3 linked regions of the Mus musculus genome follow. The protein of the gene in region 3 purifies or fractionates together with the protein of the main gene of each other region. This does not show direct contact. Links are inferred from orthologs where the notes say so. Each region holds a gene or a part of one and is shown on either strand. Other genes may lie near its edges. The genes, in order: Fbxo11, Usp3 and Snai1.

Evidence for each region.
Region 1: the proteins of Snai1 (region 3) and Fbxo11 purify together in Homo sapiens (affinity purification with western blotting; 3 studies listed by BioGRID and IntAct, with this or other methods). This does not show direct contact. The link is inferred for Mus musculus from reciprocal best matches to the Homo sapiens genes SNAI1 and FBXO11.
Region 2: the proteins of Snai1 (region 3) and Usp3 purify together in Homo sapiens (affinity purification with western blotting; 3 studies listed by BioGRID). This does not show direct contact. The link is inferred for Mus musculus from reciprocal best matches to the Homo sapiens genes SNAI1 and USP3.

The regions. Positions count from the first base shown.
Region 1 is NC_000083.6:88,063,805-88,067,546, forward strand, and holds the start of Fbxo11 (F-box only protein 11), read right to left. Parts: upstream 2,242-3,742; 5' UTR 1,449-2,241; coding exon 1,205-1,448; intron 1,129-1,204; exon of another isoform or gene 831-1,128; intron 738-830; exon of another isoform or gene 291-737; intron 1-290. UniProt on the Homo sapiens protein: Substrate recognition component of a SCF (SKP1-CUL1-F-box protein) E3 ubiquitin-protein ligase complex which mediates the ubiquitination and subsequent proteasomal degradation of target proteins, such as DTL/CDT2, BCL6, SNAI1 and PRDM1/BLIMP1.
Region 2 is NC_000075.6:66,590,665-66,594,406, reverse strand, and holds the start of Usp3 (ubiquitin carboxyl-terminal hydrolase 3), read left to right. Parts: upstream 1-1,291; 5' UTR 1,292-1,532; coding exon 1,533-1,623; intron 1,624-1,625; exon of another isoform or gene 1,626-1,894; coding exon of another isoform or gene 1,895-2,243; intron 2,244-3,742. UniProt on the Homo sapiens protein: Deubiquitinase that plays a role in several cellular processes including transcriptional regulation, cell cycle progression or innate immunity.
Region 3 is NC_000068.7:167,537,261-167,541,002, forward strand, and holds the start of Snai1 (zinc finger protein SNAI1), read left to right. Parts: upstream 1-934; 5' UTR 935-1,029; coding exon 1,030-1,111; intron 1,112-1,410; coding exon 1,411-1,938; intron 1,939-3,742. UniProt on the Homo sapiens protein: Involved in induction of the epithelial to mesenchymal transition (EMT), formation and maintenance of embryonic mesoderm, growth arrest, survival and cell migration.

The sequences.
Region 1 (3,742 bases), on a different chromosome or scaffold from region 3:
ACCAACGCATGTAAAAATTACCCTTAATCCGCCAACCAAAACACGCAAAATGTCTCCTAACAATTCTCCTCTTTAAAACAACCATACACAAAATACCGTGCTGACTTACACCCCGCTGCAAGCAGCTCATTAATAAAGAGACTAGTTATGTTTGGAGATCAAGGTGCAACACTCTCATCTCACAAACCTCTCTCCACGTAACCACATCATTCAAGCAAAACCGAACATTATTTTTGCTAAAGCAAGAATCCAACCCCAGGGAGCCTCAGCCCTTAGACAATGGTGGTTACCAGACAGCGCAGCACAGTTGGGTCCAAATGACACATTTCACTAGGCCTTGGTCACAACACGCGCGCGGGCGCGCGCTCGTCTACATACAGCTACACACACGATCCCAAGGGGCCCGTTCTACGGCGAGGGTGCTCAAACCCACCCGGAGACCGAGGGGAGCACCGTGGCGTAGTGGGTTGGAGAGGAAAGGGGGACGACACAGCGGAAGGGTAACTGCACTGCACACGAGGGAGGGGGCTGGAAATGGCCGATAGCTTCTATATTTATTTATTTAAAGGTATTGATTTAACGGGTTCTTCCCCGGGGTTCTGTAACTAAAGGCAAACTGTGCAGCAAAGATGTTGTGGTCGAGAGAGGGGCCGAGGCTCCCCCTGCCCTGCGACCTGGAAGGGGGCACGCAAGTTCCCCAGCCAGCGCGGCGGACCACTCCGGCGCTCCTCTCCCCCTCCTCCAGGGCAAGGGGGAGCCCACAGAGAAGGGGAAAACAAGTTCCCCGGCCAGCCTCACCGCCCCACGCAGCCAGCCGTCCCCCCACCTACCACGAGAAAGGGGGAGCCCAGATCGAGCCAGGCGCAGAAAGGGGGGAAATCCCACCCTCCTGCCCGCCCCCGGCCGCGAACAGACTCCCGTGGGGTGGGCGAGCCAGCCGGGAAGCCCCAAGGAGGGGTGGGGACGGAGGGTGCCAGCCCCGAAACCAAACAAAGCGCGGCCTGAGCCGCAGCCCGGGCGGATCGCGCAGCCGCGGCTTTTCCTGCCGGCCAGGCCCGGCCGGGCCGGGCCCAGGCGAACACTGCGGCACGGTGGGACCCGCCTCCGCTCGGCCTCCGTCTCCCACCCCGGGCGCGCCGCCGCCGCCGCCGCCGCCCCCGCCCGGCCTCCCGCCCGCCCAGCCAGGCCCCGAGCGCGGCCTTACCCCTCTCGCCGGCGTTGTTCCGATCCTGAGGCGGCGGCGGAGGCGGCGGGGGCGGCGGCGGGGGCTGCTGCTGCGGCGGCGGCGGGGGCTGCTGCTGCGGCGGCTGCTGGGGCGGCTGCGGCGGCGGCTGTTGCTGAGGCGGCTGCGGCGGCGGCTGCTGCGGGGGCTGCTGCTGCTGCTGTTGCACCGGGCGCGGCCGCGACACTCGCCTGGGTCTCCGGTTGGCGGCTCGGACGGAGTTCATTTGCCGGGCTGAGGTGGCGGCGTTGGCGGAGGGACACACACACTCACGCGCACACGCACCGCGAGCTCCGGGGCCGGGGAGGAAGGGGGTGGGGAGCGGGAAGGAGCGGGGCGGCCGGGGACGCGGGGACCGGGGGGCCACCGGGCGTGAGCTTCCCCCGGCTCCGCGGGGAGGCTGGGGGCACCACCGGAGCTTGAGCGAGGCCCGCCGGCCGGGCCTGGCGCACGGGCAAGGCCGAGGCCGCCGGGCGGGGCGGCCGCGAGGGACGCAGACAGAGAGACGGGCCGGGCAAGAGAAAGAAAGAAAGGGCGTCCGTCCGCCTGGGGAGCCCGAGGCGAAGCGCGGCGGCGGCCGAGCAGACGAGCCGGGCCCGCCGACTCCCGAGCGGCGTCTCCGGCAGCGGCGGCGGCGGGGGGAGTGGGCGGACGGGCGATCTCGGAGAGGGCGAGCCGAGCGGGGCGGGAGCGCGCGGGGGGCGCCCGGCTCCTCCGTTCCTCGTCCTCCCCCCACACCCCCTGAAAGAGCGCCCTGCGAGGAATTTTCTCTTTCTTCGGCCTCTTCTCTCTCCTCCGCCCCCCCCACCCCCACCCTCGGCGAAGGGGAAATGAGTGTAAAAGGGAGGAGATAGGGGCAAAAGAGGCGTCGTCGTTCCTCCTCCTTAAAGGAACCTTCCCTCCTCAGCCCCAGCGCCGCCGCCGCCGCTGCCGCTGCTGCTGCTGCCGCTGCTGCTGCTGCTGCTGCTCCGTGGCAGGAGGAGCCATTGACACCGCCGGAGCCTCTCCGCTCAAGCCCTGTCGGTCCCTCCCCGCCGCGGGGCTGGCCGGGGGGCGCGGGGGGAGGGCCGCGAGCCGGCGGGGGAGGGGCGGGGGCGGGGACAGAGGGGGCGTGGATTCCGGCGGGGCCTGACCAATGGGAAGCGCCCGTACGGTGTCGGAGCCAATGGAGCCTCCTCTCTTATCGCGGAGCCCCCTTCCTCCAACACCCTGTTTCCTCTCTCGGGTTTCCTCCTTCCCCGACGGAGGAGGAGGAGGAGGAAAGAGGAAAGGGGGGAGTGTGGCAGGGCGGGTGATAATGGGGAGGTATCAGGGCATATAATGGAGCCGGGGGTGGGCGAAGGAGCGGCAGTACGTAGCGAAGGTTCTAGGATAGGAGGTGCTCTGAAGGAAGGGCGGGGGCTGCTGATGCAATTGGGAGAAGTGATTAATCCTGCCTTTTGCCGGTTCAGCCTCCCTCCACCCCAACCTTCACCTGGTTCTCTTAAACGCCACAAGGAGTGAGGGACTCCGTCTTGGGTAACTCCGGATTTCTGGGCTCGGTAGGTTCAAGCTCTCAGCTGTAGGGAGCGCTCCAGGCTCTGTGCGTTTTTAGTCCAGCTGAAGGGATTTATTTGCAAACCTTAAGAAATCTTGTTTCGGCTCTGCTGAGAACTTAAGAGAGAGTCTGGAGTCGGTTCCAGCTTTTGTCGCCCAAACTTTCAGAATGTTTTAGATCTTTAACCAAGTTAGTTTGCTTTAGGCTTTTTTTTTGGGGGGGGGGGGGGGGCAAGTGGTCTACATGGTGTTCCGGAAGAAGTAAAATAAAACGGGTGGAGGTTGTGATGGATTATATTGGTTTTGTTTTAGGTCCCACGAAGTCAAGAAAGATAAACCCCCGAGAGGAATAATCTTTTGTATCTGTGTCTGGTCCCCTTAGCACAATCTCTCCCCAAGGAAAATGTGTTTCTATTCCCTGGCCGCCGTTATGAAGACTGAAAATGTACTCCGCTCACTATTCCTTATTGCATAGCTAGTGGTTTATCTCTGGATTCCCTCATTTCGGAGCTGTCAGTGATTTTCTACTTGAATTTCATTGATTGCTTTCTAGGCTTAAGATAGATAAAACATTACAAAGCTTCAGAAAGGGAGGGAGAAAAGTGAATTCTAAGGGACGCACAGGAGAGGTAAGTCTACGGTATTGTGCTATGTGTAAATTACAGATTTTTTTCTTTTTTTCTTTTTTTCTTTTTCTTTTTTTTTTTCTTTTTTCTTTCTTGGTTTTTTGAGACAGAATTTCTCTGTGTAGTCCTGGCTGTCCTGGAACTCATTCTGTAGATCAGGCTGGCCTCTAACTCAGAAATCCGCCTGCCTCTGCCTCCCACGTGCTGGGATTAAAGGCATTCGCCACCACTGTTGGCAAATCACCCTTCTAGATGTCAGACATCTCCTGCCATTTAAATAATAACCTATCATATGATGTACAATTGCTGGGTTTTTTTTTTTCTTTTTTGGTCATGTGATTTTCAAAGACTCACAATC
Region 2 (3,742 bases), on a different chromosome or scaffold from region 3:
GAATCTGAAATACCACCCTGGGCAGAGATGTCCTAGGTGGGTGGACACTATCAGGCAGAAGGCTACAGGGTGCAGTAGTGGGGTGTACGGAAGTGGCTTAAGGGGTGCTAGAGGCGTGCACTTCAGGGAGGTGCCCAGTGCTAACTAACCACTATCCGGCCCAGCCAGTTAATCATTTCCTGACCTTTCCTTTCCTGCCCCATGGATTGGCACATTGTTCTTCCCTCTCCACTTGCTTGTCAGGGGATGAAGGAAAGAAGCCCCTTTACCAGGTTAAACACCACCAACCAAACAAAGAAAGAAAGCCCAACTTTGGAGGCTAGATTTGTGGGAGCCCCAGATATCCTCAAGGCAGAGAATGTGAGGTGGCAGGCTCTCTACCTCTAGACGCTCCTCCTGTCTTCTTCACTTCTTTCTAGAGAGAGATTTGAAGCGGGGGGGGGGGGGGTGCGGGGGTCCAATCTTCCTAAAGCAAATTATACTCTTGGTTTCACTTTTTGTTAAAAAGGGGACCGTAGCAGCAGCTTGAGAGGGTGTTTTGAGGATTAAATGAGGTGTGGTATGCAAAGTGCCTGGCTGGGAGCCAGGTGGGCTTCTAACAAATGTTACACTGCCTCTTTTTATTACCTAGCACCCGCGACCTTGTACAGCAAACTGGATTATTTCGTTCAACTTCAAGAGGTATAGGTATGAAAATACCCACAATGGGCAGGAGATATCAGTGAGTCATAACGGCATGGCGTGGACCCCGAACACAGGCGTTCCGGTGGGCCCAGCCGTGCAGTATCCCGGTGACACACTCAGGCCAGAGTTCAGAACTCAGAACAGTTCCGGACCCCGCCTGCTACCGGGAGAACACGAAAGTCAGGACTGTTCTGGGCTCTTTGCAGCCGGCTGGGCCATCGAGGGCCACGCCCCAAAAGTCTGTTTCTTCCTGTGTAAAATGGGGCTTCAATGCACGTCGGTGTGAGTGGTTTTCATTTTCCGTACTCTTTGCGGTGTGGTCACATATTCTACCTCGCTGTTGTAGCCAACTCACTGCAGTAGAAGCAGCGGTCCCGACCGCTCTGCCCCGGATGAGTACCCACACTTGTCGGGTTCCCAAGAATCGGCTGCAGCGGCCGGGGGCAGATTTCGGAAAGTCACTTCACATCCCCGTAGGACTTTACACTAGCTGCTAGCACTGGGTGAGCACCAATGCCCCGCCCACTGACTAGTGTGGGGGCGGGGCCCGGGCTGGCCTGGGGGCGTAACCAGCAGGGTGGGCGGGGCCGCCGGAGAAGGCGGAAGCCTACTGTCCCTGGGCGGCGGCAGAACCAGGAGTCCGGATTTTCACGTTCTCCGGAGCGGGGCGCCGGGAGACGGCGGATGGCAAAACCCGGCGCCCGGAAGCCCTTGCTTTCTTTGACGCAAAGGCTCGGGACCCAGAAGCCGCCGTCTGCCCAGTGCCGGGTCAGAAGCGACCCCAGACGGAGCCTCTGAAGTCCCTCCGCCCCAGAGCCTCGGCTGTCCCCGCCGCCGTCCTCGTGGCCATGGAGTGTCCGCACCTCAGCTCCAGCGTCTGCATCGCCCCGGACTCAGCCAAGTTCCCCAACGGCTCCCCGTCGTCCTGGTGCTGCAGCGGTGAGTGCGGCTCTGGGGCTGGCCGGCCGCGCACCCGAGGTCCCGGCTCTGGCCCGGGCCTTGCCGTCGAAGGGCCGCGGGTGCGGGGCAGCGCGCGGCCTCGTTGGGGGGGGGGGGAGGCTGAGGGGAGCAAGCGGGCCCGGCGCGCGGGGCGAGGGGACGCGGCGCGGCGCGGCGGGCGCGGTGGCGGCTCCTTTGTTTCGCGCGGCCCGACGGCCGGGCCGGCTGAGGAGAGGCCCGCGGGGGCCTGAGGCGAGCGCGCAGCGGCGGGATGACGCGGCGGCTCGCACCCCAAGGCTCCGCGAACCTAAGGGCCGGCTCCGCGCGCGGCCGCACGTGTGGCGGGGTCGGGCTCGCGGTCCCCCGTGGGCCGGACAGGCAAAGCGCCGCTCTGCGGGCGCAGCTTTGTCTGGACTGCCGGCGCGCGAGCCCCTTTGGGTTGCGTTTCCTCGGGTTCCCACAGGCTCCTGCCTCCCCCGCAGCCCCTGAGCGGACTGCGCTGGGGGCTGCTCACCTCGGAGTCTCTCTTCAGCCTGTGAGGGTGAAGTTTGAAAACAGGCTGCGGGCTCCGAAAGCTCCGGAGAAGGCAGCCAACAGCTGCTTTGGAGGGGCGGCTCGAGGTTGGGTGTTTTGGGTTTTTTTGTTTTTTTTTGTTTTGCCTTTCGAAGATTGTTCCGAGGCAGTTTTTCGGGTTGGCAGGGATTTCGTTGGGAATTCCCGAGTGCGTGTAAGACACTTCGTAGGTTTATGTTATGCCTTCGAGTTGCTTAAGCGTTAACTCCTTCTGCTTCCTTGGAAGCCCCGGTGCCCTCTCATTGTCTGCCGGGACTTAAGGTCGGACGGGCCACCCGGCTTTGATTACTTCCTGGTAGGGCCCTGGTGCCGACGCTGGTCTTTGTTTATGAGCTTTAAGATTATCACTGGCAGCTTGGGCTGTAGTGTAAAATGTGAATCGTGTGCATCAGAAATCAAGTTCATCTGCAAGGCTGAAAAGACGGTGGGACGATTCAGCAGAGTGGTCTTTCAGCCTGGGTTGGATTGGAGCTAGGAAGGTAGTTTAGGGACTGCTTTAATACTTTTGACGTACTACTTCTTCAAAGGGGATTATATTCTTGAAGCAAAATATACGGGGTAACACAAGGAAAACTGTCCTCCAGGATAAGGAATAGAAATAACTGCAGTTTTCTGGAGCTCCAAGACTTGGTGTCTTGCTTACCTTTGTAAAGTCAGGTGTCTTTCTTCTGTTCTGCATGAAGCCTTTAAAGATTAATAAGTTAATTGGTTTCACAGGACAGTATTGCAGTTCCTTTGGTTTGTGAGACTGGGTTTCTATGATAGCCCAGGGTGACCTAGAATTTATAATTTTCCTCTCTCAGCCCTTGGAGTGCTGGGATTATAGGCATGTGCTACCCCTTCTGGGCCAGTATTGCAGTTCTTTGTGGGAGTGCAGAACTTGTGTGAATGGGTCTTACCTGTAAATACATCTTCAACAGTGAGTCTTGAGCTTGGAACATAACACTACCAACAACAGGCCAGTCCATGTGGTCTGTTAGTTCATTAGCTGTAGCTGTGGGGCTATAGTTGAATTTTCTCAAGAGAGATTTGTCACACACACACACACACACACACACACCCTCTCACTAGGAAAAGCTTACACCTCACAAGGAATGGGGCACTTCTTGTTCATCTGTAGTCAACTACAGGGATTCCGAGATGGGTGTATCAATACAAGCCTAATTTTTTTTCTATGTAAAATTATATCAAACTTAGAAATGGCTTCACTGTGCACATGCATCTAAAAAAATTATGCAAGTGGCAGGTATCCTGTTGTGAGTCAGTCTTGCCTCCATCAGTTAGGGAGTCCACTTTGGGGAAAAGAGACAGCAAATGAAGCCCCTCTTGAGGAATTCAGCACATTAAAATGGAGCATAACTGGGAGACTTGTGCTGAAAACAAGAACAAATTAGTAATGGAAGGGTGATTTCTTTACAACGTGCAGTAAATGGTTGCCTCTGACCCTGTTTTGGAAGGATGGGTCTAATCACTTGCATTTATAGTACTAATAAAGCTAGTTTCACAACTCAGTGGGTGTTTTTTTTTTTTTTTTTCTATCTCAGGC
Region 3 (3,742 bases):
TTATAGGTGTTTATAACCCCATACTATGGGGGTGTGGGTTTGGTTTCCGAGGCCACCCTTCCTCCCTGTGAACGTTCCAACACGATTTTCAGGAAGTCGGGAGCCTTAGCCCTGGTCCTTGCTACCTCTGCCTCGCACCTGCCCTTATTGGTGTTTCACAATGCAACTCTAAACACGTCCGTCCTCAGCTGAAAGTCCTTCCGTGACTCCCCAGTGCCTGTAAGGCAAAGTCCAAACTCCTCCAAAGACCCGAGGCCAGGAAATCGGACCCCTCAGGGTCTGCCCAACACCAACCTCATCCTGGAACCTGCTCTCAAAGGTTGGACAGGCAGAAGTTACTGATTCTTACCCCGGGCCTTTCCCCTCGGTGCTTCTTCACTTCCTCTAGGAAGTCATAGACACCCTCCCCTGTCAGGTGACCGTTCATTGACAGTCACAGCTGTCTCTCCCCACCTCCTTTCATCAAATCACACCTCCCTTTAGTATTCGAATCCTCTGTTTATTCTGTCTGTCTCTCTCTCCCACGGCCGGGAAGCCATCCTTGCGTAGGGCATCCCTGGGTAGTGTTTTGTTCAGGGCTGTGTAGACAGTTCCAGGAACCCCTAAGCGCGTGCATATCATCGCACTTTCTGGCTCCCCAGCGCCCAAAGGTCAGCAGCTCGGGGATGTTGCGGGGCACCGCGCTCGTCGTGGGGCAGGCGCGGCCACCAGGGGTCGCCCGAGGAGCTCGGAAGCCGCGCGGTCCGGTCCGGGAGGAGCCCAAGCGGAATCTCAGCGCCACGCGGCGGGAGCCCCAGCAGCCCAGGCGCACCTGCTCCGGTCTCAGTCTCCGGCCGCGCCGCCGCCAGCCATTGGCTCAGCCTTGACAAAGGGGCGTGACCAACAGTACGGTCACGCCCCCAGCCCTGGTACTTAAAGGAATTTGCTGCTGCTAGGGGATCGTAGTGTGCGGCCGGGCCTCGCGAGCGGAGTTGACTACCGACCTTGCGCGACCCGGTGACCCCGACTACCTAGGTCGCTCTGGCCAACATGCCGCGCTCCTTCCTGGTCAGGAAGCCGTCCGACCCCCGCCGGAAGCCCAACTATAGCGAGCTGCAGGACGCGTGTGTGGGTGCGTGGTGGGGTGCGGGACGCGGGCGGCTGGGGGGGATCCCAAGGGTGCTGGGGGGAGGTGAGAATCGGGCTCTGCGGGCGCGACAGGTGGATCTGGAGCTCCGGGTCTTGGCAGTTGGGATCCACCGAGGGTGTCTTTGACCCGGGACGGGGAGGCTCCGGGAGTTGAAGACTCGAAGGCGGGGGTAGCTTTGCGGAGTCCGGGCGGGGGAGGGGAGGGGCGGGCGGGAAGCCCCCCCACCTGGCGCCCCGAGAATCCGCTCAGCTGACTCCCTGCTGTCTCTTCTCTTCCCGCAGAGTTCACCTTCCAGCAGCCCTACGACCAGGCCCACCTGCTGGCCGCCATCCCTCCGCCCGAGGTCCTCAACCCCGCCGCTTCGCTGCCCACCCTCATCTGGGACTCTCTCCTGGTACCCCAAGTGCGGCCGGTTGCCTGGGCCACCCTCCCGCTGCGGGAGAGCCCCAAGGCCGTAGAGCTGACCTCGCTGTCCGATGAGGACAGTGGCAAAAGCTCCCAGCCGCCCAGCCCGCCCTCGCCGGCGCCGTCGTCCTTCTCGTCCACCTCGGCCTCCTCCCTGGAGGCCGAGGCCTTCATCGCCTTCCCTGGCTTGGGCCAACTTCCCAAGCAGCTGGCCAGGCTCTCGGTGGCCAAGGACCCCCAGTCGCGGAAGATCTTCAACTGCAAATATTGTAACAAGGAGTACCTCAGCCTGGGCGCTCTGAAGATGCACATCCGAAGCCACACGCTGCCTTGTGTCTGCACGACCTGTGGAAAGGCCTTCTCTAGGCCCTGGCTGCTTCAGGGCCACGTCCGCACCCACACTGGTGAGTGAGTGTGCATAGCTGAGCTCTGAGTCTGGGCTGTTTGGCCTTAGACCCTGGGGGGACTCAACACTTACTCCTAAGGCTGCCAAGCAGTGGACAAAGTAGATGTTGGTTGTTCTCCATTCTGTACCTTGCTGTTCGAGGCTAGGAGTGAAGAGGTGTTCCCTATCCGGGCTCAACCCACACTGTAGAAGTCAGACAGGATATTGCTAGACAGGATATTCTGCACCTGGCCTTGAATCCTGAGTCGAGAACTTCCCCAGTTTCCTCGTTTCTAAAATGTATCAGAGAACACTTCGTGGGGTCTTTGTAGAGTGAAGTGCTAGGTGCAGGTGCCACTAAGAAATGACTTCCCAGTGACTATGAAGACGGCTCAGTGGTTAGAGCACTGGCTACTCTTCCAGAGGTCCTGAGTTCAATTCCCAGCACACATGGTAGTTCACAACTTAACTAACTGCCTGTTAAGAGTCCAGTTCCAGAGGACCTGACACCCTCATACAGACATACATGCAGGCAACATACCAATCCATGTAGGACAAGAATAGAATAGACACATCTTTTTTTTTTTTTTTTTTTTTTTTTTTTAAGAAGAGAAACAAAGACATGACTTTGCTGTCCTCTCAGCCTTGGGCCACGTGGGAAGCTTCTAGAAGTGAGGGAAGGCTTCAGCCAGGCTTGGTGGGGGTTCCGGTTGGGCTGCTCTTTGGAAAGTGTGTCAGGCTTTGGGGTAGAGCTGTGCGTCTCTTGTGGTGGCCAGCATTGGGGCAGTGAGGCCTGGGGGTGGCAGGGAGGTATTTGCAGGTCTCACTGACACCTTTATTACTTGAATAAGATTACCCGTTTCCCCCCCCCAGGCACGGATTGCCTCAGATTTAACCTATAAAAGTGTAACAGGCTGCCTCTCTCCGGCTGGGTTGCTAAGCTGTGGGGCTCTACTTTGGGGAAGAGCTGAAGCCCTCAGGGTCCTAGGCTGCCTCCGACCACCCCCCACCCCCCAGGGACTTTGTTTTGATGTAAAGGCATGGCTCAGACAAAACCCTCCTTGAAATGCACCACCCAGTTCTCTAGGAGTTCCATTGTGTGTCTTAATGGTAGCCCAGGGGGTGGGGGCCTGCAGGGTTAGAGCAGGTGCACGGGGCAGCGGTGCCCAGCACCTGTTCTTGGCCGCAGCTGCTGGCTCATTGCACGGCAGGCCCCTTTAATCCAGGGGGTATCACATGTACAGTGTCCCCCTTAGTGGCCTTTGTCCCAGCCGGCCTGGTGCCGATTTCACACTTGCCAGGAACACTATGAAGGCGTCTGGGGGTCGGGGATCTGTGAAGAGAGAGAGAGTGTGTGTGTGTGTGGGGGGGGGGGTGTCTACACTTCCTGTGCAAGCCCAGAGACTCCCAGCTCCATCCCACCCTGTGTTATCTTGAAACCTCCCTTTTGTTAAGTACTTCAGTTCGCCTGTCCCTGCTAAACGGACAGGTAGTGGTTAGGCCATTCTAGGGAGGGGGCAACACCCCTTACTTGTAGGGACCCACAGATTGCCAAGGTCCACCACCACCCAGGGCTTTGGAGCCCCACCTGTGTAGCTGAAGACTTGTGTGGGTTTGTGCCCCCTAGGGGGGCTGAAAGCGGCTCTGTTCAGTGAATACCTGCTGAGTGGGTGGATCCCGCAGGATCCCTGCTGAGATTTCCTCTATCCAGAGGCTCAGCACACCCAGGCGCCATTCCTCAGCCCCGAATTCCATCACTAGAATCCAACCAAAGGGCACCGCCTGTGGACTAGCAGGCTGGGAGGGACGGGAGGCTTGCCTTG